4 linked regions of the Drosophila melanogaster genome follow. The protein of the gene in region 4 purifies or fractionates together with the protein of the main gene of each other region. This does not show direct contact. Each region holds a gene or a part of one and is shown on either strand. Other genes may lie near its edges. The genes, in order: FipoQ, CG31344, SPE and Idh3b.

Region 1 (5,593 bases), 7.5 Mb from region 4:
TCGACCACAGCACCCACCTTCGATCCTATATCGTCATAGGCACAGACATTACGTATGTATAACTCACGCAGCTATGCTTAACTAAATTATATACCATGCATATAATAGCTGAACGCTGATCGGCAATGAGACGATAATTCAAACGGAGATGATCTACATATGTACGTTAAGTTTATGGTAAAAAGTCGATTCAAAAATGTTGAAACATACACACACAAAAAAAAAATTAAATTAGCATTAAGTTTGCAATGGATGAAAGCAGTGTAAAAATCATCAGCAAAACGCTAAAACGCAAAAACGATAAACATTTTATGTGGTGAAGTCTGAAAATGATTTAATCAAGTTACCAAGTAAATCTAGTTAAAAACAAAACACGAATCAACGCGGATTGAAATGATTAAAAAAAAAAAAAAAATGATTTAAAAACGAGAGCAAGGCGAAAAGTTGCGTTGTATAATTTTGTAATGTAAAAATAACTTGTATAAGCAAATCCTTGTTTTGTTTTTATTTAAATTACCTATGTACGTTTATTTAGATTTAAAGTAATTAAACGAAAGAAGCGGAAAATACAGAAAACATTAAAACACTCTTATTGTAAGCGAAAACACACAGAAACATTGCTTCTCCTCCGGCCCTGTTGTGGGTAAATCCCATCCAGAGCTCTGCAACCGGGTAAGTGCAAGCTACCAATCCTCTCTTGGCTTTCAGCTCTGAACCTCAGAGGCTCAGTTGAAAATCAAATCGTTGTAGTTGCGGAGCAGGTGATAGGGAGACACACGGCAGCAGGTGGTGGTGCGCACCACGGTGATGCGATCGGCACGCTCAAAGTTGGCCTTGACCGTCTCATAGTAGCGACCATCGCTGGAAGCGAAATATTGATGTTAATCCCGCATAGAAATAGGAGTCTGATGTAGACCCACCTGAGCACCATGCAGCGCAGCTTGAGGCACTTGACGCGCAGAATATCGATGGCCTTCTGGCTCTTGTCGGAGAAGCGCAGGTTGTCCGGATCCCAGCGCAGCTCCAGCCGCTCCAAGTTGCCGCAATTCGAGGCGATGGTGTCCATCAGCTGGTCCACGTGGATGTTGACGCCCAGCTTCTCTGCGGTGCCCATAACAATGATCCTGCAGGTTAAGAAAGTTCAGCTCATAATAAAATGTCTTTTCATTCGATGACCAATAGTGTCGCCTACTTGCAGTTGCCCAGCAGGGGCAGGATGCTCATCCACAGCTGGTCGGTGATGTGGGGCATGCCCGAGAGACAGCAGGCGCTCAGCTGATGACCCTGGCGCTGTATAAACTTAAGCAGGCCCTCATCCGAGATGTTGTCCGAGGAGTCCAAGTCCAGGGAAATGAGCGACCTAAATCATACTGCTATCGGAGTGCTTACACAGACGGGTAGGTACTGTCTCCGCTCACCTGGTGGTGCCCGATTCCATCCACTGCTTGAGAACGCTGTCGTTGAAGCCATTGATCTGGCCGGCTGAGAGGAACTTGAGGCTGGGGATCCTGCTCAGCATGTCCACGAGGCATTCGGTCGAAAGATCGGTGGCCGTGATGTCCAGCTCCTGCAGGGCGCACTTGTCCCACTCGGCCTGCATGACGAACTCCGACTTCAGGCTGGTGCCGTTCATGAGCAGGCAGGTGAGGCGCTTGGAACGCTGGATCAGGGTCTTCAGGGTGGAGCCGGTCACTTTGTTGCAGAAGTTGACGGCCAGGCACTCCAGCTGGATGCAGTTCGAGCTGAAGGCGTCGATGTGCGAGTCATCGATGAAGTTGATGCCGTACAGGTTGATCACACGCAAATTGGGCGTGGCCGACTTGAGCTTGTGCACGTTGATCACCTCGTAGATCTCCTCCTCCTCCTCCTCGCACTTCTCGTACGTGCCAATTAGATGCAGCACCTCCAGGCCGTTGATGAAGTTGTAGATTTTGCGCATGAAGCCCTCCATGAAGATCACCTCCGAGAGGCAGACGCACATGTAGCGCAGCTTGGTGGGAAAGGCCTGCATCTCGCTGAAGTCGTGCAGCTGCATGGCTAAGAAGTACACAGGACACTCTAGAGTTTAAGACGGACGATCGGCGACGTGGCGCACCCACCTGTGGAGAAGTCCAGCAGCATGTGGGTCAAATTGGGGCACTTGGCGGACAGTTCGTGGAGCACCGTGTGCGTGATCAGCTCGATGGGCAGCTCGATGTAGCGCAGAGTCGGTCCGAATCTCACCGAGATCAGCTGCAGCAGCATCTCCAGCGAGCCCACGTGCAGTCCGGAGACCTCCGGTCGCAGGCTCACGTTCTTCCACAGCCGCGTGTCGTATGCAATCTGCCGCCATCGTCGGCAAATCCTGGCCAGGCGGCAGATCTCGCGGTGCGACAGATACGAGAAGATGTGCAGCAGCACCTTGTCCGGCAGCTTCTCAATGGTCTGTGGATGAGAGTCACGATATATAGTGGTATATCCTATGGTACTACATAAGTGATTCAAATATGATCTCTAAATGTAAATCTAAACGACAGTTCGGAATAGTTGAGTGCGAATGTGGTGCTATATATTCTACGGGTGAGTGAATCTATAGATACTCTCTCTTACGCCACAGACTGGCTCTCCCAAATGAGTGGGATCCCTAAGTAATATCCCAAACCCATCGTACCGTATCGGCGAAGGGACTGCGAACTGTGCCGTCGGAGAGGTAGACCTGCGATGCCTCCACGGCCAGCTGACCCCAGATATCGGTGGATATATCCATGGCTGGGTGTGGATGATTCGGAACCACTTGCTTATATAAAAAAAAAATATAGCTACACACGGGGCAAACTACGCGTGCTCTGCCTGCGAGGCGAGAATATCCGTCGTATCGAGCTACTTTCGCGCTACTGCGAGCCGCATTCCCATCGACGTGCCATCGGAATCTCCAAAGATCCGCCAGGCAGTAGTAGACTCAAGAGAACCCTAGGCTTATTTATAGACCAGCGCCAGTAACGAGAGCACTGCCACATCGCATCACTCAATCACTCTACTTTCGGATGCATCAGCTGTGCTGTTCACGGGCGACGCACCACACCACTCACGCACTCTTTAAGAACAAATAGAACCACTAGAACCACCAGCACCACTCACCCAGCGGTGCACGTGGAGAAACATGCTGATAAAATCCCTGCCAAATCTCTTCCTTTCCTCGTCAGATTCAAAATCATTAGTAAGCTGTATAAAAGTATCTCGAGATATTTTACTATATTTTACTTATATCTAAAAGTATCTGATATTGCTGATAGTATCTACCTTTTGTAGGTTCGGATAACCTATGGATTCATCTTAAGATATTTCTACTTCTTAGATACTTTAAGATGCATCTGAAAATGCTTCTGTTTCCCGAGGAATAACCTTCTGAGCTTTATCCTTTAGCGCCTACTTTAAGATACATTTCCGCACAGCCTGCTTTTGCATATATATATTTAATAGTAATAATAGATTTCGAACCCCTTTTACTTTCTCAGTGCACAATGTTTGTTGCCAAGAATTCTATATATACGCCATCGTTCGTCTGTCTGGCTTTGTTTTGTTTACTACATCTAATATGTATATCTATCTGCACATGTGTATGTTCTATGTACAGGGTACTCACCAGTCGGGTCTTCACCACGCCAGAGTCGTGGAGTCCGATGGCCTGCGAGGAGGTTTGCGCTGCCAAAACATTCCAATTATCCATGGTGGGCACTGCGCTCTAGTTCGCGATTTGGATTGGGATCAGCCGGAAAGCTGAAGGTGTTCGCTGTCTCAGCTGTACAATATGTATGTATGTATGGTCTTGCTGGATCCGTCCGCTTCTATCTATGTATCTATGTATCTATGTATCTAACTAAGGGAGGAGATGTGCCGGCTATACTCGCATGAGATACATTCATTCATGAGCTAAACTATTTCTGCAAGGCTTTCCCAATTAGTCACACTGAATTCTGAGCATTTCAAACTAATTGTTATTTAGAAATTATTAGTTTACAAGCAGCTAAGCTAATTAAATTACCACATTTTGAAGCAAATTAATAGGAAATCTATATTCAGTAGTCTATTAGTTCTGGAAAGTATAAGTATATTAAGTAAGCAAGCGAAAGCAGTTAGTTAAAACTTCGTTTTTACTATGTTATTTACCCATTTGATTAGTTGATCAAACGAAATTGTTAGACACTTTCCGCAAATAAACGAGTGCGAGAAGGAAAGCTTTTAATTAATTAATTAATTGATGCCCGCAGGCGATTAAAATAGCAAATTCACAATTATGCAAACTCAGTGAACACACACACATTGTTCACTTGCGACTTTTGATTTTCGACGAGGATGGGCGTCACATCTGAATTTGTTTCATCCTTCGCCCGGTTTATTAATAGTTTTCCCTCAGCTGGTGGATCTGGTGGAAAAAACTGTTGGGGTTGCAAGTGCAACGTGGAAAGTGCAGTTTCGTAACTTTAGCACTTTCGTTGCAAGTTGAAAAAAAAAACTAGGGAAATTCACTTGGCAAATTCACTTATTCTGTTGCAAATTACTGGCAAATCGGATTGATAAATTCCGGCGAAAATCGACGGATTCTGCGGCTTTACATGGGCGAATGCTCCGCGTTCTCGACGGCTCCACAACTCTGAGAAAACTGAGAAAATCAGGCGTCCGCGGAAAATGGTTTATGCCAAAATTCACTCGGCTAGTTGATCGTACTACATGCGGAGTACATGGCTACATGGGCATCTGGGGATCTGTGGATCTGTGGATATGGAGGGGTTATTCGGGGCGATCTCTGCGAGTGCAGGCGTCATTTGCTTTTCCCATGGCGAGCGGCCAACAGAGGGGCGGTTGCCCAGGGGGCGTGGTCGATCGTTGGGAAACAGATATTACAAATGCTAGAAACTACAAAAAATCACTTCTTATGATTTGAGCACTGGATTTTATTCAAAAATTAGCCCATATCATCTCAGATTTTGATGATAGTTGTTTTTTTTTTAGTATAATAGTTTTAGTTAATAGCGTAATTAATGGAATTCAAGATTAAAAATAAGAATAGTTCCTAGTAATCAGATTGAACTGTTTACATTTGATTAGAAAGTGGGAACCTTATCAATTTCATGCATATATAAAATAAAATACACATAATTAATTAGTAATTTCTGGATGCAATTAAAGCTTCTCTTTATTGTTTATGTGATGCAAGGGGTTAAAATGGCAGCCTGGTGACTTTGATGATCTGGATTCCGTACTGCTGGTTCCTCCTCACAAATTCCTGTGACCAATCGCCGCTCAGACAGCCGCCGTCGCAGTTGCAGCCGAAGATGTTGCACGATCCCTGGCCGCAGTAGGCGCCCAACTGGGCAACACCATCGGCGCAGATCGTCACTTCGCAGCCGTTGGGATAGTTTTCGATTGCACGCACAGCCTCGCAGTCGCCTCTGTCCATCTTGAATTCCACCAGCTCCCGGGAGGTGCAGCATTCCGACCGAGCCACATGGACAAAGGCCAGGGCGCAGATCCCGACGAGAAGCAGGCTGACTACTGGGGATGCCATGATTGGATTTACTGGGAGAACTAATGCTTTTCACCCCGGCAAACAGCG
Region 2 (5,293 bases), 6.8 Mb from region 4:
GAGTCGCAACCGCTCAAGGACGGAGTAAGGGACATGCTGGTGAAGCACCATCTCTTCTCATGGGATCTGTGAGGCTTGCTGCCGCCTTGTAAGGAGCTCCACAATCGTTGGCAATCAACTGCGTATCCAATATCTCATTGCCCCCTTCTCTGTTCTTTCATTTCTAAGTGCAATCGCAATTCTTTGAATCGAAGCTATCGCTTTTTTAAGTACTTCTTTGTTGTCGTACACCTAACTTAAGTGCTTTACCATAACGATCTGTAGCTGTAACTATACCTTTAAAACGCCCTATGTATAGCTCGAGCCGTTTGTTTACTTAATGTCCATCCATTATTATAAATCCTAGACCACACCAATCTACTAAATTACAAATGTAACGTACCTTTAATTGAAATCAAATCTTATAAAGTACAGACATATTTATTACTATATACACATAGATGTTTAACTGTCTAAATGCATTTCATTAAAGTTTAATATATATATATATATAAATTGTACGCAAAACGATTGAATTTAGTTGGACACCAATCCCAAGTAGTCGTCCATCAAAGTGCCAATTGCAAACTAGAAATATTAGAGTATTAACTTGCGAAAAGTACTTATATTTATGGAGCGTCTTACAATTCCAGTGGCATCTACTCGTGTGCCCACAATCTTCAGCCGAATCTTATCCTCTCCGGAGATAACCACATCCTCATCTTTACTCTTATAGCAGGGCGGATTCCCATTCGGGCAGAACTGCATGTCGGCGGGAATAGACTAAAAAAGAATCGCCCGTTAAAAAGTGTTACCTTAGATCCCTCAGACTTAACATACATGATGCGAAATGAAGCAGGACAGCGGGCCGATCTCTGCAAACATGCCCACTTTGTTGATCTGCTTGACCACTGCGTCCAGAACTTCGCCCTTAAATGGCCGAAAGACGATAGCTTTGTACTTGACCGGATACACCACAAATCCCTGGCCCGGCTGGATGACACCCGATCCGATTTGATCTATCGTCGTCACCGCTATCACGAATCCGTACTTTCCCGTGCAGGTGCCCTCCACTTCGGAGTAGAGTTTCTGCTTCACGGTCTCCAGCAGTTGCGGGCCAAAGTAACGTGGATGAAGCAGAATCTCTTGCTCCAGCGATATCTACGGCGCAAGGGGTTGGCATTTATTTTTGCTCTATTCGGAGAATGAAATACTCACGTGGTAAAACATTGTTAATTAAATTTAAGGTAAAAAACTAAAGTAAACAGCCGGAACCCAAAAGATGCTGCCGCAAGTGTGACCAGATTCGGAAATGTAAAAAAAACAGAAGCGCGTAATTTACCGCCAATAATTATAACGATCTGTTTAGAAAGAAAAATAAAATAATTAATTAATTAAATACGATAATTTATGGAGGTGTTCGATTTTCAAGTCATTCAACATTTCTTATATGATCAACATGAACTACAGCCCGTTCATTAAATATGGTTAAAATATAAACTCAACATTCCTTTTACAACAATTACTTTGCATATTTATTGATAATTTACCTACTGAAACACAACACTATCTAATCGTCCTTCAAGCCCAGGGCAAAGTCTTGGGCTTCCCCGCCATTCCTGAAAATCCGCACATACGCGGACTTCGGGCCAAACTTCCAAATGGCGACGTAGGGCAAGTAATAGGTGAATATGTCCACCAGCCAGACGCGGAAGTTCAAGTACCATCGCACCAGGGCATACCTGTGCAGATATGTGACGAGGAACAGGCCGTAGCTGACTATGAATCGGTCCCACCATCCCATGTCGTAGTAGTGCAGCTTCTGCTGGGGATCCTGCGCCACTCCGTTCTCATGATCGAAACTGTAGTACTCGTATCCCTTAACGCAGGCCAATCGCTTGGCAAAGAATATGTTGGCATTCACCGACAGCATGGTGTTTATGTGCCACAAGCCATTAATCAGGGCCTCGGTCATTCGTTTGAAATCCTCCCCAGTGTTTGCCAGAGCTGGTTCGTATACCTTACGCATCACAATGTCCAGGCGGAGCTTTGACTCCGCCCAGTTCCTACCGCAGATGTTGTACTCATCCTTGATGCCCAGCAGATAGCCGAGAACGCGCCACATATGCGTAGTGGCCTCCAGGAAGTCCTGATCTTTCAGCTTTATGCGATGTGCGCCCATCGTTATGAAGCCAATGAAACCGAACTGCGTGAGCGCCAAATCCTTCTGGGTGATCTGTCCAGCTCCTTGGCGGGCGCACGCATGACTGGAGCGGCTGTGGGCCCGCCTCACGGCCGCAATGCTGGTCCAGAACCTGCTGCCACGGTCCGCGATGTTGTGGTTATACCAGGCTTGCGTGTGGAATATAGTACGCACATAGCGACGGTAGGCGGTGAACGCTGTCGAGGATTGGCGTGTGCACGACAGCACCCGGAGAATGGATGGAATAGCCAGCACGGCAATAAGACCAGCCAGCATTCCGGCGTTCATTACAAAGCGATACGTGCTAAAGTAGCTCTGACCACTGCAAGGAAAAGGAATAAAGAATCAATTAAGTAATTCGAATGCAGTTATATTATTTAAATTAAAATATACATATACATACATGTACATATACATATATATTGTTAAAAGTAAATGTATGTCGCCTTTTGTTATTAATATGTAAGCCCGTAGGTACAAAATTGGAATAATGAGCACAGATAAAGATAAGTATTATATGCTGCCTTTTCGCATTATTATTCACATAGCAAACTGCTACATAACTCCAAGCTTATAAATAACCCATGTGTATATGGATATTGTAATTATCACAATTATTTCTACTGTGGTTACTGGGCTAATATGCAATCAGTGAACAATTAGTCACGCAACTTACCGCCTGAATAGCTGCTCATCGTACCACGAAGGTAGCTCCAAATCAGCACCGCTGTCGCCCTCCTGACTGCCCTCCTTCATTAGGTGCTCCAAGTAGTCCTCGGGCTCCTGGTGATCCTGAAGCAGTTTTGAAGCCCCCGCTGCATTATGACCATCTTTGGAATGCGATGACGACTGCATTTTCCCACTGATCCCTGGAAAGTGACGTGCGATGTAGAAAACGAGCTTGAGGTCCAAATTCGGATTACACAAGTGAAAGAAAGAAAAGACAAACAAAATCGTCGGCGCGCCAAGAGAGAAAGTTTTTCATTCAACCCGCCAACAAGTCCACTGTGCACTTACACGTTTCACGCTTCGCGGGATGGGGGATCTCGGATGAGCTGCTGGTACAACCATCAACCTGCATGTCGGCCAAATTATTGCTTGTTAAACTATTTAGCAAACTCAATAGTTCAGCTCGTTACGTGCAAAAACATTTTGCATACACAATTGGAAAAAAAGCGTTGAGGATGAATCACGGCTGCCCACCGTCGTTGCGGTTGGGGAACTTAACTGCAACTGGCACGTTAGGCTCGTCAAATAAGAATGGAAAGCCGGTCATTGGCGCGTAAACTGGTTTCGAATCATTCGCACTGATAACGAATTAAGTAGTAAACTTTGTTTATGCACTTTAGTGTGCCCGCAACTGCAACCGTTAAAATATACCTTTTAAAACCCCAAATATATCGATGTAAACCACAAAATACTAAAATCATGACGCAGGAACGTAACAAGTATAAAAATACCGCGCAGTGTCATCTCCATAACTCTGTTATCGTTATCGTAATCGAATATGGCAGTCGTCTCGACAATCTTTAGCATTGCATCTCTATCATCGACGACGCGCTTGCAAAAAAACGAAGGAAATTAGCCAATTTCTATTTTGCCCTGACGTTACGCCGTTTAAAGTGTAAGTTCCCGGCCAGGATTCGACTCAATCCCTGCCACAACGACTTTCGGTCAAGTGTTCGTTGCGAGAGCTTTAACTACGTAGCGAACTTTCGTAGTTTTTCTGCACACGTTTTGCCGCTTCGGCTTTTGTTTTGGCGCCCGATTTTTTCGGCTGCCGACTTTTGACGCAGACTGAGAAATTGCGTGCCTAAAAGCCTCGAAATGGTGGATCGCAGCGATAATGGTAAGTCCGGTTAGAAGTTAATCGCCGCAATGTGTAACCATCGACCTTTAGCAGCGGAATCCTTCGACGACGCCGTCGAGGAGCGCGTGATCAATGAGGAGTATAAGATTTGGAAAAAGAACACGCCGTTCCTGTACGATCTGGTCATGACGCATGCCCTGGAATGGCCCTCGTTGACTGCCCAGTGGCTGCCGGACGTGACCAAGCAGGATGGCAAGGACTACTCGGTACATCGTCTTATACTGGGCACACACACATCTGACGAGCAGAACCATCTACTCATCGCCAGCGTTCAGTTGCCCAGCGAGGATGCCCAGTTCGATGGTTCGCACTACGATAACGAGAAGGGCGAGTTTGGAGGCTTTGGATCGGTGTGCGGCAAAATCGAAATCGAGATTAAGATCAACCACGAGGGCGAAGTGAACAGGGCCCGCTACATGCCCCAGAACGCCTGTGTAATCGCCACCAAGACGCCGTCGAGTGATGTCCTGGTCTTCGACTACACGAAGCATCCCAGCAAGCCGGAACCGTCTGGCGAGTGCCAGCCTGACCTGCGGCTGCGCGGTCATCAAAAGGAAGGCTACGGACTCTCTTGGAATCCCAACCTCAATGGTAAGTGCGTAGCTGTACCTAGTACTTATATATTAGCTCAGATAAGAGCTTGACACATCTAAAATGCATTACGTTTTAACCCTTAATGAACATCTTGATTGTCCTTACAGGCTATTTGCTGTCAGCCTCTGATGATCACACCATCTGCTTGTGGGACATCAATGCCACACCCAAGGAGCATAGGGTTATTGATGCCAAGAACATCTTCACCGGCCACACCGCCGTTGTTGAGGACGTGGCTTGGCATCTGCTACATGAGTCTCTGTTCGGATCGGTGGCTGACGACCAGAAGCTGATGATCTGGGACACGCGCAACAACAACACCTCGAAGCCCTCGCATACAGTGGACGCTCACACAGCGGAAGTCAATTGCTTGAGCTTTAATCCCTACTCGGAGTTCATTCTGGCCACGGGCTCCGCTGACAAGACTGTAGCTCTATGGGATCTGCGCAACCTCAAGCTAAAACTACATTCCTTCGAGTCGCACAAGGACGAGATCTTCCAAGTGCAGTGGTCGCCGCATAACGAGACTATTCTCGCCTCCTCCGGCACTGACCGCCGCCTACACGTCTGGGATTTGTCCAAAATCGGCGAGGAGCAGAGTACGGAGGATGCTGAGGACGGACCACCCGAGCTGCTCTTCATCCATG
Region 3 (5,227 bases), 1.7 Mb from region 4:
TTCGTGCCGTAGGAAGTAATGCCAGCGATGTAGAATACGTCCCGGCTGCCTGTGGATATGGACACCATCAAGGGACCGCCAGAATCGCCATCGCAGGTATCCATAGCCGTACATGCCGCCGGCGCACAATTGGATCTGGATCAGATCGCCCGTGGGCAGGCAAATGGGGCGCACGTAGTCGGTGTAGCTGGTGAATGAATAACAATGATGAAGAAGTTATGGAATACTCACACATCCCACACACCCGCCACTCCTTTTCAATGCCACTCCTTTTCAAAACCAAAGCAATGTCATTCTGCTGGTCTACGGAATTAGGCAACTATTGGTCATGTACAATGCCCTTCTCCACCTCGTGTGTGGATATATTTCAAAATTTTAAGCGGATCCAGGTGAAATCGTTGTCGTTTATGGCATCCCATCTGAATGTTGGACCCACTCGGAAAATGCGCAGATGACCATTAGCAATAGTAGAAAATTCCATTCCATGGAAGCCATCTCGATACCCCAGAACCCAATCCGATACTGACCAAGCTCTCCGGCACATCTGCCGTCTAGATTGACAAGTGAGATGGCTATTGCAACAGAGATAAATGAGTTCCAGAGATTTTCCTCTACTTTTCCATTAGAATATGGGAAATTACGTGGGCAAGCTACTACCAGACTTTGCTGATCACAGATTGACAGAAAAGTGGTTCGATATTATTACAACCGGTTGTGCTCGCAAAACTTGACAGTGCCGATCTCATGTGAATTGATTAAACCCCAATATCTACATCGCGCTTTTCACATGGTTATCATGTATTTAAGTATGTATTCATCATGGCTCCAATTTCTGCTTTATCCAATCGATGAAAGCCCCCGTGCGGGTATAGACGCCGGGCCATCCCTTGAGGCCGCAGGGCTTCGTCCCGTAGGAGGTGACGCCGGCAATGTAGAAGACATCCCGGCCGCCCGTGGATATAGGCACCATAAGGGGACCGCCGGAATCGCCACCGCATGTATCCACGCCCAACTGGCCGCCGGCACACATCTGAGAATCGTCCAGTTTCACCTTGAAGCTGGAGTACTTTTCCTGACAACTCGTTAGGTTCCAAACGTTGACGGTGATCTTCAGCTTGATCGCACTTGGCTGCATGTTCTCGGTAAGTCCCCAGCCGGCCACATCCATGCCGTAGTCCACAAAGTTGTTTTGGACTAAACCATCCGTGGGAAGGCATATTGGACGCACGTAGTCGGTGTAGCTGTGGCAAAAACAAAAAAGCAAGTCAGTGGAATAATTGAGGGATCTCTGGACCACATACCTAACAATCCTCTTAAGGCGCACCAACGCAATGTCATTACGCTGATCAACGGAATTGGGAGCATACATCTCGTGGATGATGCCCTTCTCGACCTCAATGTCGATGTGTTTCGGTGCACAGATGCGCTGTCCGTTCATCTGGGTGGTGCAGTCAGGATCGGTACGAGTGTCCCACTCCCCCAGGCGAACGCTGTGTAGAACGGCACCGGATTTGTCCAGTTCTCGGCTGGCCAGGCAGTGTCCAGCGGTCAGGACGTAGCGCGAGTTGAGCAATGCACCGCCGCAGTTGAAAGTGTAGGTTTCAGAAAAAACTGAAAGGATAAAGAGCGTTTCCCAAGTACATATTATAAATTGATTAGATACTAATAATAGCCTTGTATATATTGAATATGCGTTTTCTTATAATGATGATCCCCCCATTGGAGAATTTGATTTGAAAAAGTGATTAAAAAATGATTACAGGTGACCTCGTGAAACAACCTTCCTATAAGAGATTAAAATAGAGCCTGGGTAGGTAATCTACTCACGTTTTTTGTACTGCAGCAATACCATCCATGGGAATTCCCAGAGGGTCGTATTGGTGCCCCCGAAAATGCGATCAGCGAAAAGGAAGCCGCAGACGTCATTTCCAGGCAGCACATCCCCCTGCTGCAGTGCATCCCTCGTCGAAGGAGTTGGTTCCGAGTCCATGATATTGCCCCGCATGCTCTGCGGACAGCAGACCAGGATTCGATTCACCAAGCCCTCAACCCTGTTGTCCAGGCCACACTGGCTCTTGGAGAGAAGGATTCGCTGGGCGGGAGTCTTTGGCTCCACCATCAGCAGGTTGGCCAGGTAGGGGCAGCTGGTGATGTGAACGCACTGGCCGCGCTCATCGCTCTGCTGGGGCGTACAACTGCCAAAGCTGATCTCCGCTGCGTCTGGAAGAGAAGAGCGCGATTTACGATGCAGTCTAACCGGTTCTGAACCAATCCATTAAAGGCAATCCATTCTACTAATGGACTTCATGTCTAATATTTCTCATAAAATTTCTTAGTCCGGGAAACTATATGTTGATATTTAATATATTTGAAGTTTTCAAAAACTCTTTGATTATTAGTTGTTATGGTTTTTATTCTCACAATCAACAAGGTCAAGTGCTTAGTTTTTCTAGCTTTATTCAAACTATATACTATACTATACTATATATATAGAACTATATACTTTTGAAAGAAGCACCATTGCATCCAGTTGCTGTGGATATTGTTTGCCCAAAGGACAGCTTACCCACCTGATCGATGGACCAAGCCGGATAATGCGCTGACCACCAGTGACAGTAGCAGAAAATTCCGTTCCGTAGAAGCCATCTCGTCGCTATGGGCTCCAAGCTGATACTAACCAAGCTGTCCGGCAGTTTCGCTGTCACCGATTCTCTCCCGATGCATTGGGCGTGATTAGCAGAGGTTATCTCCGGACTCAATACCATCTAGATTGCAACAAAGGCAAAAGCTATGTGAATAGGGTGGTCTTTCCCTGCCTTAATATTTACATAGTAGTTCTGCTGAGCTGGGCAAACCCAGCGGTGTAGTTATTAGAAATTTATTTATGCTTAATCTTCTCTCGGCACGTTATGTTTTTTGAACAACACGTTTTTTAAAAAACAATCTTCAGTGCTTTTTCTTATCTTTTGGGGTTTTATAGGTCTATTACTTTATAGTAGTGGATTAATGGAACAGATGCTATTCCAATTTTGCAAATATGAATTCTTTATTAAAATTAGGGAGCCAAATTCGCTTTGATCCACTCCGAAAAGTGGCCAATTTTTGTGTAAACACCTGGAATACCAGCAGAGTAGCAATATTGTTGTCCATATGAGGCAATGCCTGCCAAAAAGACGAACTCGTCGACGCCGCTTCCCATGATGCCCATTACCGGACTGCCGGAGATGCCCGCACAGGTGTCCCCTTTCCGTTGACCACCGGCGCATACTTGGGACGCGGAGCGAAAGCTGGGATACCTATTCAAGCAATCAGCAGGATTCCTTTCCTTGACCGTGCTGGTGATCAACGTTTGACTGCTTTTAGTCGGATCCCAGCCAGAGATTTGCAAATTCAAATCCTGTAGGGGAAATTCGGCGTCCAATAGACAAATGGGTTGGATCTTTTTCGTGTATCTAGCGGGTTTGTAAAGAAATTTCCATAAGATGTGGAGATTAGGGTGGAGATCACTGCTACTCACCGCACTGGGAATTGCAATCGGAGGAGGGCGATGTCGTTGCGGTAAGTTCCGCCACTCGAAGTGAAACCCTGATGTACTGTTGTTTGCCCCACCTCCACATCCAAATGTGGACACCTGCTTTCCGAGGTGATGCAGTCGGTAGTGGACTCGCCCAGGCGCACACTCTTCAGAACCAGGTCATTCTGCGTCAAGTAACCACCGATCACGCAGTGGGCAGCGGTCAGCACATAGCGACTGTAAAATCCCAAATGAGAAGACTTTACTCGTTGAGTTTTTGTAAGAAACTAATTTTATTTGGAAATATCTTCGGTTTAAATAGGTGACATGAGAATCGCATCTTAAAGTAAATGGCCTACGCAGAGGCCTAAGTAAATAGTCCCCGCCTTATCGAGGTCCCACGCTCGGGCACATCTGCCTATCTTGAGCGGCGAGGACCTTATCTGTGGTCTCCCACTAAGGGACTATTTTAGGAGGCGGGGAAAGATCTCAAGTGACTGACTCATGTAGTGTGCACTTAAATTACATGTTTTTGAGCAATGCACCCATGTCGCCTTAGATAACAAAATCCTAAATATAATTTATCGCTCTCGATTCATTTACATAAGATATGAACGGAGCCCAAAATTGTAAGTCTTTAAATATATTCGTGTTCATGTGTGAACAGCGACTGTTGATCAGTGAGCCCGCACAACCAGTTCGTTGATTCCACATCAAGGATAGCCGATTCTCATATAACAGCAATACCATCCAAGGGTACTCATTAAGCTCTGCATTCTCGGCACCCCGATCTCGGAACACGGGCGTCGTTTGTCCACAGGTCTGTTTGTTGGGCAAGACGTCACCCAACTCTGGGCAGCAGACATAAACCATGTGCAACAACTCGTGTCCATTGGGGTCCAGGCCACACTGCCTGTGTGCAAACACATCTTTCTCCGCCTGGGTCATGCCCCGGGGCCTAAGGATGTTCATAAGCGGCGAGCAGCTAACCAGTCTGGTGCATTTCTCATCCTTTTGGCAGCTTGATAACCGAACTATAAATTACAAAAATAGATAAGTGAAAGCCCCGATAAAGTATAGCAGTACGAGTCTATGTGGAAATATTATTATTATTATTATTTTTGAATATGATTTATAATAAAACGGATCGATGGATATGATAATTTTTATAATTCATGGGGTCGAACGTGACCTATTCACAGCACACATCCTCTGCAAGGATATTATTGAGCAAGATATAACATCTTCGGTTTTTTACGAAAACTTAAAAATCATTGCTTTTGCTTACCACACTCAGCCAATTGGTTGAAGAAAATGGCCTGGAGAAGGACCAAAATATAAACTTTACGTCTGTCCGACATGCTAGACATCCAAACTCGATCTGACACTAAATATACAGAATAAAATGGATCAACAAACTCATAAATCCCAATGACTCAATGAAATTTCCTAATTTATTTTTGCGATAATTTGGGCTCAGTGCCGGACAATAAATATTTCTTTTCTTAACCAAATTCTACTATTTTGATTATTTCATTGGAATATATTAGTGTACATGTTCCATAGAATCCATTCAACGAATTTGGATGTCTTTGTGTAAGCTGCTGGTCCGTATCCGCACTGACTGTACCCGTAGGATGTGATTCCGGCTAGATATACGAATTCCTCGTCACCACGTTCCATGATGGCCATCAGCGGACCGCCGGAATCGCC
Region 4 (6,107 bases):
AGTTGGCGAAACCAAAGAAAGCACCAAAGGTCCCGAAACCGGTAAGTTAAAAAAAAAACTAAATTCAGCTAAAAACTGATGATAATCCCCCATTTCATTTAGGATCGTGGAGCTGGGGAGTTCGATCCCGTGCGTCTCAATCAGCTGGCCAGTCCCAAGGCCTATTTGGAGGAGATCAAACCCAAGTGGGAGCTGACCTCCCAGATGAAGGACTACAAGGCGACCAAGCGGATCAAGCAAATATCGCAGCCCGTCGTGCGCGATAATGTCCACATCAACGAGAATCCGGAGAAGGTCTCGCCCAATGCCCTTCGCTACAAGCGTAAGTACACATACTCCAATTTAGTTGATCTTTTAATAATGCAGCACCTGGCATTGCTTCACTTAGCGAGTGCCCGCATCAAGGAGATGTCCGAGCCACTTACCACGCGCGATGCCAACCAAGGACTGGCGGATGTCAAGGAGAATCCATTCGGTATCGCGCCAAACGCGCTCAAATACAAGGCGAGCACGCGGATCAAGGAGCTGGCGGAGCCCAAGGAGTTCGAGAACACGCATATCCGGGAGAATCCGTTTGCCATATCGCCGGCGGCTCTGAAGGCCAAAGCCTCGCCACGCCTCATCGAGTTGGCCAAGCCCAAGGGTGGATAATAATTGGAGACGGACGTGGACTGTGCGTCTGGATAATCATTACCGTCCTTATTGGTGTTCTAAGTTTTTCATTTCGGCTACATTTGGTATCGACTTTTCTAATAAATTTGTTTTTGGTTTTTTAAAAAACAACTAGAGCTTTTCCGGCTCTTTACGGGATTGGATTTCCTGTGAAAGTGGCGCCGGAGTTGGGAATAGCGATGAAATCTCCTTTGGCCTTTCATTCCAGTCAAAAAAAAGTTTGAGAAATATGTTTGGGTTTTTTTTTTTATCTTTTGTTTGTATTACTTAAAATTTAGACAGCTCGGAACTGACAATGGCTTTTAAATAATAATTAATTTAGATTTGAGTTTATTGTTATCTTTCTCACAGCTCCAGTGGAGTGGGTCCACTCAAAGCCATCCGTTATCAGTTAATTGGTTTAGCAATATCATTTGTTTTCGGTTTTTTTTTTTGTTTTGCTTTTCAACGGGTTAAACATAAAATATAATTCGACCGTAAATTAGCATCTTTGCGAAATCAAAAAGGGGGGGGGGGGGAAATAATACGTAAATAATTACAACATAATCAAGGATCGATGTATTACTGCCAATTGGTAAAACTAAAGAATTCGCAACTTTTGGATTCGGGGCGGGTCTGCAGGCGTTTCAATTGGACTAAACTTAAATATTCGCCGGAAATAATACTCAAATGAATGCACTGAAGACATCGGGACAAATAAAAAAAATTGGACGTAATAGGATAACTAAGAACTTTCAAGGTGTTTCTTTCAACAATTCAAAATTTAGCTGTGGCAACAACAGAAACTGTCTAATGTCGATTATATAAGCGCCAACGTTGTTGCCCATGATGTTGTAGACTTGCTGATCGCGATGCCGGCGATGACAGTGGTGCCCATCTAGGACATGTTCAGGATGATGGCGCGGGTAAAGTCCTGCGTGGTCGATTGTCCGCCCAGATCCTTAGTACGCACCTTGCCATCGTTCAGCACCTTGTTGATGGCATTCTGGATGATCTCGCCGTAGGTGGGCAGGTTGATGTGGCGCAACAGCTTCACGCCGCAGAGCAGCATGGCAGTGGGATTAGCCACGTTCTTGCCCACGGCCTCGGCGAAGGTGTGACGTGCACCCTGCAATCGGAAATCGGTATTAGAGATAAGAATAGTCTGAAGTGGATTCGCACAGCTAGGCTCGAGAACCGTGTAAATCACGATCTTATGGATTATCTTTATGTCTTTATGGCGAATCTTACCGGCTCAAAGACGACGGATTCCGAGGAGTAGGAGGCACCAGCAACGACACCAGCACCGCCCACGAGACCACTGGCCAGATTGTCCACAATGGCACCATAGAGATTGGGGGTGACCATCACGTCGAACTGGTTGGGATTGGAAACCATCTGCATGGTCGTGTTGTCCACGATCATCTTCTCAAACTGGATGCGCGGATAGAGCCGGGAAACCTCTTCGCAGGAGCGTAGGAAGAGACCGTCGCCCAACTTCATGATATTCGCCTTGTGCACGGCGGTGACCTTCTTGCGCTGATTCTTCGTCGCATAGTCGAAGGCGAACTTGGCAATGCGCATGGACTTTTTGGCGGTGATAATCTTCAGGCACTCCACAATGCCGGGCACCGACTCGTGCTCCAACGCCGAATACTCGCCCTCCGTCTGCTCGCGAATAATCACCGTGTCGATGTTGGTGTGGCGGGTCTTGACACCGGGCAAGCTGCGCACATGCACCACATTGGCGTAGAGGTCCAGGTCGTTGCGAAGCTTCATGTTAAGGGTCTGCAGGTCACCCACATTGCTGTAGTCGGGTGTGGCCAAAACGCCCTGAAGGAGCACATTGTTTAGATTTTATCACACTATTTTATTTTCTTGCAAACTTACCTTAATGCACACTTTGTTTTTCTGAATGGATGCCACCACATCCTCCAGTTTGGCACTAAGCACGGGATTGATTTCGGAAAGGAAGTAGCACTCGAAGTCCACGGGAACGCTGGCTGCCTGAACGACAAGATAAGATAATTATGCATATTGATTGGGCTTGAAAAGTTAAAGAATTTACATAGCATTTTTTAATTTAGTCGCACGTATGAACATGTATGTTCAGTTAAAACGGAAATCCCGAAATCTACTAAAATTTTCAAGTAGCAGCCACTTATCACATATCTTTACGATACAGATAAGTTTGATGTTTTGATTTATATAATAAAAACACTCGTGATCGGGAAAAATGGAAGTGTTATCAAATACAATGCGCTCTGTGAAGAGTGAAATATATTAATTAATTTTTAGAGCCCTGTGCTTTTTAAATCTAATAGATTCTAGAAATATGTACATAACTAACTAAACGCCGACTTGCTTAAAAAAAGCTTTTCTATTAAATAGGAAACCAAGCTGGCAATGATCCTAAGCTTAAATAACCTTTTTTTTAAGAGAGATCAAGAGACGCAAGAGTATAGATTTATAAGAATTAGGACGCATTGGAATACTGTATGTGAATGATTGCAACTTGATGGATGGTTAGCTACCTTGAAGACCTCCTGGAGGGAGTAGACCAGCTCGGGACCCACACCGTCGCCGGGAATCAGTGTGCAGGTGGTCCTGTTGGCGCCGTAGTTATCCTGCAAGACCAATTATTTTCCGGTTACAACTGGTGCCACTTAATAAGCGCATTTAACACTCACCGTAGCCCGTAGCGTCGACGTGGTGTGCAGACTACGTGCTGCCGCAGCCTAAAACGAGAAGAATGCAATGTAATCGTTAAGGCTGGCTAGGATTATAACCTCAAAAAAAAAAAAAAGAAACGTATAAGAACTAGGCCTCAGCGCAGAAATATTCGCACAGCGCGTCGCGAGCAAGTGTTTATGTAAGAGCTGCGGTTTGGATGGCCGTTTACCTGCATGAACGTCCGTCCAACTGTTCTCGCCAGCATCGACATTTTGCTATTCGGTTAGCTAGATCTTCCCGGCTGTTGATCCAAACTCAAAAGTGTGTCCTTTGGCCACGCGAAATTTTTGATTGCGATGTGATTTTTGCTCCGGTGCCAAACCGAAAAATTTCAATAGGACCAAATCGACCACGCAAACCAGCTGATTGCCTCTGACTACCAGGGCTGGCGATAGCCGCCCACGAAACTGGCGCGTCCAGTGCTGGCTAACGACCAACTATCGCGATTTTGGCGTTCGAAAATTAGTAACGAACATATACGATTATTTAAGGAATAAATTTGGCGGCAACCGCATAGTAACCTGTTTTTGAATACATTTGCCTTGCCTACCATGCTTTCTTTTCAGAACAGAGAAATTAAATTTAGCCAATGCATTTTATTTGAATTTTGACATTCAGCATACTTTTTAGTCAACTTATTTATTATATTAATTTTTTTCGCTAAATTAAACAACAAGTGGATGTTCTTTATGTTTATTTATGGCCTAATCACATTGTTCTTCAGAAACACAAAGCTTGCCAATTTCAGCTTTAGTAATATATCATATTCCATTCATGCCTTGGTATCGAATTTTTTACAAATCTTCCCAGAGTATTTATGTTTTGGATTTTATAATGATGGTTTCTATGTTTAATTTGTATAATTGAAGCTAAACAAAATGTTACAAATATATGTATATAAGTGCTATTTCGTTTCAACTGTGATCGCTAATTGGACAAATTACATATTGTTGGTAATCGTACCATCTTCTCCTGGACTAATAACAAATAGTAAGTGTATCATCTTGTTTCTGAAGGAAGGGGACACGGGACGTAGTCTACAAATACAATAGTCCGCTGGCAGCGGCGTGAGCCATCAAGGTGTTGGCCGCCTGCTGAGTCTCCAGCATGAGGCGAGCCTCCTTCATCCACTCGCCGGCAATCTTGCGCGATGCACCCTGCAGCAGATTCATGTACTTGAGCGCCTGCAGAAAGTCGCTGCGATCCACATGGTACCTGTGAAACATAATATATATAATATATATTATATAACTCTAGTGATAGATGAATCAATCGCCTCACCTGGCCCTGTTTAGGATATCGTAGGTGTCCAGTTTGCTATAGTCGAAGGGTTTGTTCTCGAGTTCGTCCTTGGATATGGGATTATCGGGTCGCAAGATGAACAGCGATTGCAGATAGGACAGGAAGTAGATGGGCAGGCCGGCTCCTTCCTCGGGCACCAAAGCCAATCGTCGCGCCACGCGCTCCACATTCAGGAAACGCTCGCGCAATGCATCTTCTGGATAGACACCGCGCTCCTGAGCCTCCTTCGGGACGCTTTCCAGCACAGCGGCCACCAGGTCGTCACCCTCTGTAAGCATATGCATTTAGCAACTGAAATCGAAATGTGGGAAACGTTTCAACTTACTAGCCACCTTGGCAATGGCATTGATCTCGTTCTTTAACGGGCGCAACCTATCCTTATAGTGCACGCCAGGAGTGGCAGCGCGCACGGAGGCCCACAGAGCTTGGCAGGCGGCCCAAAGGGCCTGCGCCTGATTGGCAGTACGCTCTGCATCCGCACGCTCTGCAAAAATGTTGCATATAATGTCAATAAACATTTTGATTAAACCAAGAATAAGTTGGTATAAGTACTACCCTTCATATAGGGTGAATATACCTTGAAACTCATCCTCTATCTCTAATATAGCAGCATGTTTTGAAAAGGTTTGAAAACCATTATATATCTAGCCACGCTACACTAGCTACATTCAACCGATATCGTTTAAAACGTATAACTTACCTGCCAGAGCCGCGTCCATTCCGCGCAGCTTGCCGAGCATCCCGGCCAATTGTAACTTATAGTTGGCCTTTTCGGTCGCCAGCTTATCCTCAAGTTCACGCTTAAAGCTTCGCGTCAGATCGGTCTCCCGCTGCGCCACGATGTCCTTTATATGATCGGCGTGGGCCTCTGCTTGCTTTTTGAGCTGCAAGCGCAGCAGCTTATCAGACTCGGCGTGGATGTGGAAGATTTTCTTTTGATTTTCCACGGCCAGTTTGCGCCGCTCGGCCTCCAAATGGTATTCCAGTTGGGCGCGCAAAGCCTCCGAATCGTTGTCACCGCGAACCGAGTCAATAGCTCTCTTCAGGCGCAGCTCACCATCGGTTTGCAAGCGCTGCAGCTCCTTCTGGTAGGCCAGGACATGGGTGTAGGCGTGCAGGATGAACAAGTCTAGGTCCTCCTTTGACAGATTAAGTTTCTTATCCGCCAAACTGAGGCCGGGGAAGATAGACTCGATCTCGTCAATGAAGTAGTTTCGCGCCTTCTCCACATTCCGCCAGTACTTGTCTGACACGCTGGCCGTGTCCTTGTGCCGGTAAAGCTCGTCCTTTACGTTGCCAATGTGGTCCACAAGCTTCTTGATCTTGTCGCGCACTGCCTCTACTTTCTTTGCGTTTTGGGCCGTTGCCGCAGCACTCAGGGCGATCTCGCAGGCGACTGCAGTTGATAGAAGGGAATGTTA

The links.
Region 1: the proteins of Idh3b (region 4) and FipoQ purify together in Drosophila melanogaster (affinity purification with mass spectrometry, with the first as the bait; one large-scale study listed by BioGRID). This does not show direct contact.
Region 2: the proteins of Idh3b (region 4) and CG31344 purify together in Drosophila melanogaster (affinity purification with mass spectrometry, with the first as the bait; one large-scale study listed by BioGRID). This does not show direct contact.
Region 3: the proteins of Idh3b (region 4) and SPE purify together in Drosophila melanogaster (affinity purification with mass spectrometry, with the first as the bait; one large-scale study listed by BioGRID). This does not show direct contact.

Annotation. Positions count from the first base shown.
Region 1 is NT_033777.3:29,493,831-29,499,423, reverse strand, and holds FipoQ (F-box involved in polyQ pathogenesis), read right to left. Parts: upstream 2,884-5,593; 5' UTR 2,747-2,883; coding exon 2,651-2,746; intron 2,425-2,650; coding exon 2,100-2,424; intron 2,038-2,099; coding exon 1,419-2,037; intron 1,361-1,418; coding exon 1,193-1,360; intron 1,125-1,192; coding exon 921-1,124; intron 862-920; coding exon 726-861; 3' UTR 501-725; downstream 1-500. Other genes in the region: diedel, read right to left, coding at 5,198-5,545.
Region 2 is NT_033777.3:15,221,884-15,227,176, forward strand, and holds CG31344 (uncharacterized protein), read right to left. Parts: upstream 3,447-5,293; 5' UTR 3,264-3,446; coding exon 3,200-3,263; intron 3,052-3,199; coding exon 2,859-3,051; intron 2,505-2,858; coding exon 1,550-2,504; 3' UTR 1,495-1,549; downstream 1-1,494. Other genes in the region: CG12241 (uncharacterized protein), read left to right, coding at 1-72; Polr2G (RNA polymerase II subunit G), read right to left, coding at 517-567, 625-762, 820-1,140, 1,198-1,209; Caf1-55 (chromatin assembly factor 1, p55 subunit), read left to right, coding at 4,010-4,031, 4,083-4,643, 4,754-5,293.
Region 3 is NT_033777.3:23,683,705-23,688,931, reverse strand, and holds SPE (Spatzle-Processing enzyme), read right to left. Parts: upstream 2,678-5,227; 5' UTR 2,647-2,677; coding exon 2,571-2,646; exon of another isoform or gene 2,395-2,570; intron 2,221-2,394; coding exon 1,828-2,220; intron 1,612-1,827; coding exon 1,302-1,611; intron 1,242-1,301; coding exon 818-1,241; 3' UTR 785-817; downstream 1-784. Other genes in the region: CG18754 (uncharacterized protein), read right to left, coding at 3,056-3,452, 3,518-3,751, 4,227-4,548, 4,803-4,875; CG16710 (uncharacterized protein), read right to left, coding at 5,048-5,227.
Region 4 is NT_033777.3:22,015,439-22,021,545, forward strand, and holds Idh3b (isocitrate dehydrogenase 3b), read right to left. Parts: upstream 3,747-6,107; 5' UTR 3,596-3,746; coding exon 3,554-3,595; intron 3,390-3,553; coding exon 3,342-3,389; intron 3,279-3,341; coding exon 3,186-3,278; intron 2,659-3,185; coding exon 2,542-2,658; intron 2,485-2,541; coding exon 1,903-2,484; intron 1,781-1,902; coding exon 1,550-1,780; 3' UTR 953-1,549; downstream 1-952. Other genes in the region: Theg (testicular haploid expressed gene), read left to right, coding at 1-41, 103-322, 389-651; mitofilin, read right to left, coding at 4,422-4,599, 4,666-4,954, 5,012-5,170, 5,264-5,284, 5,387-6,082.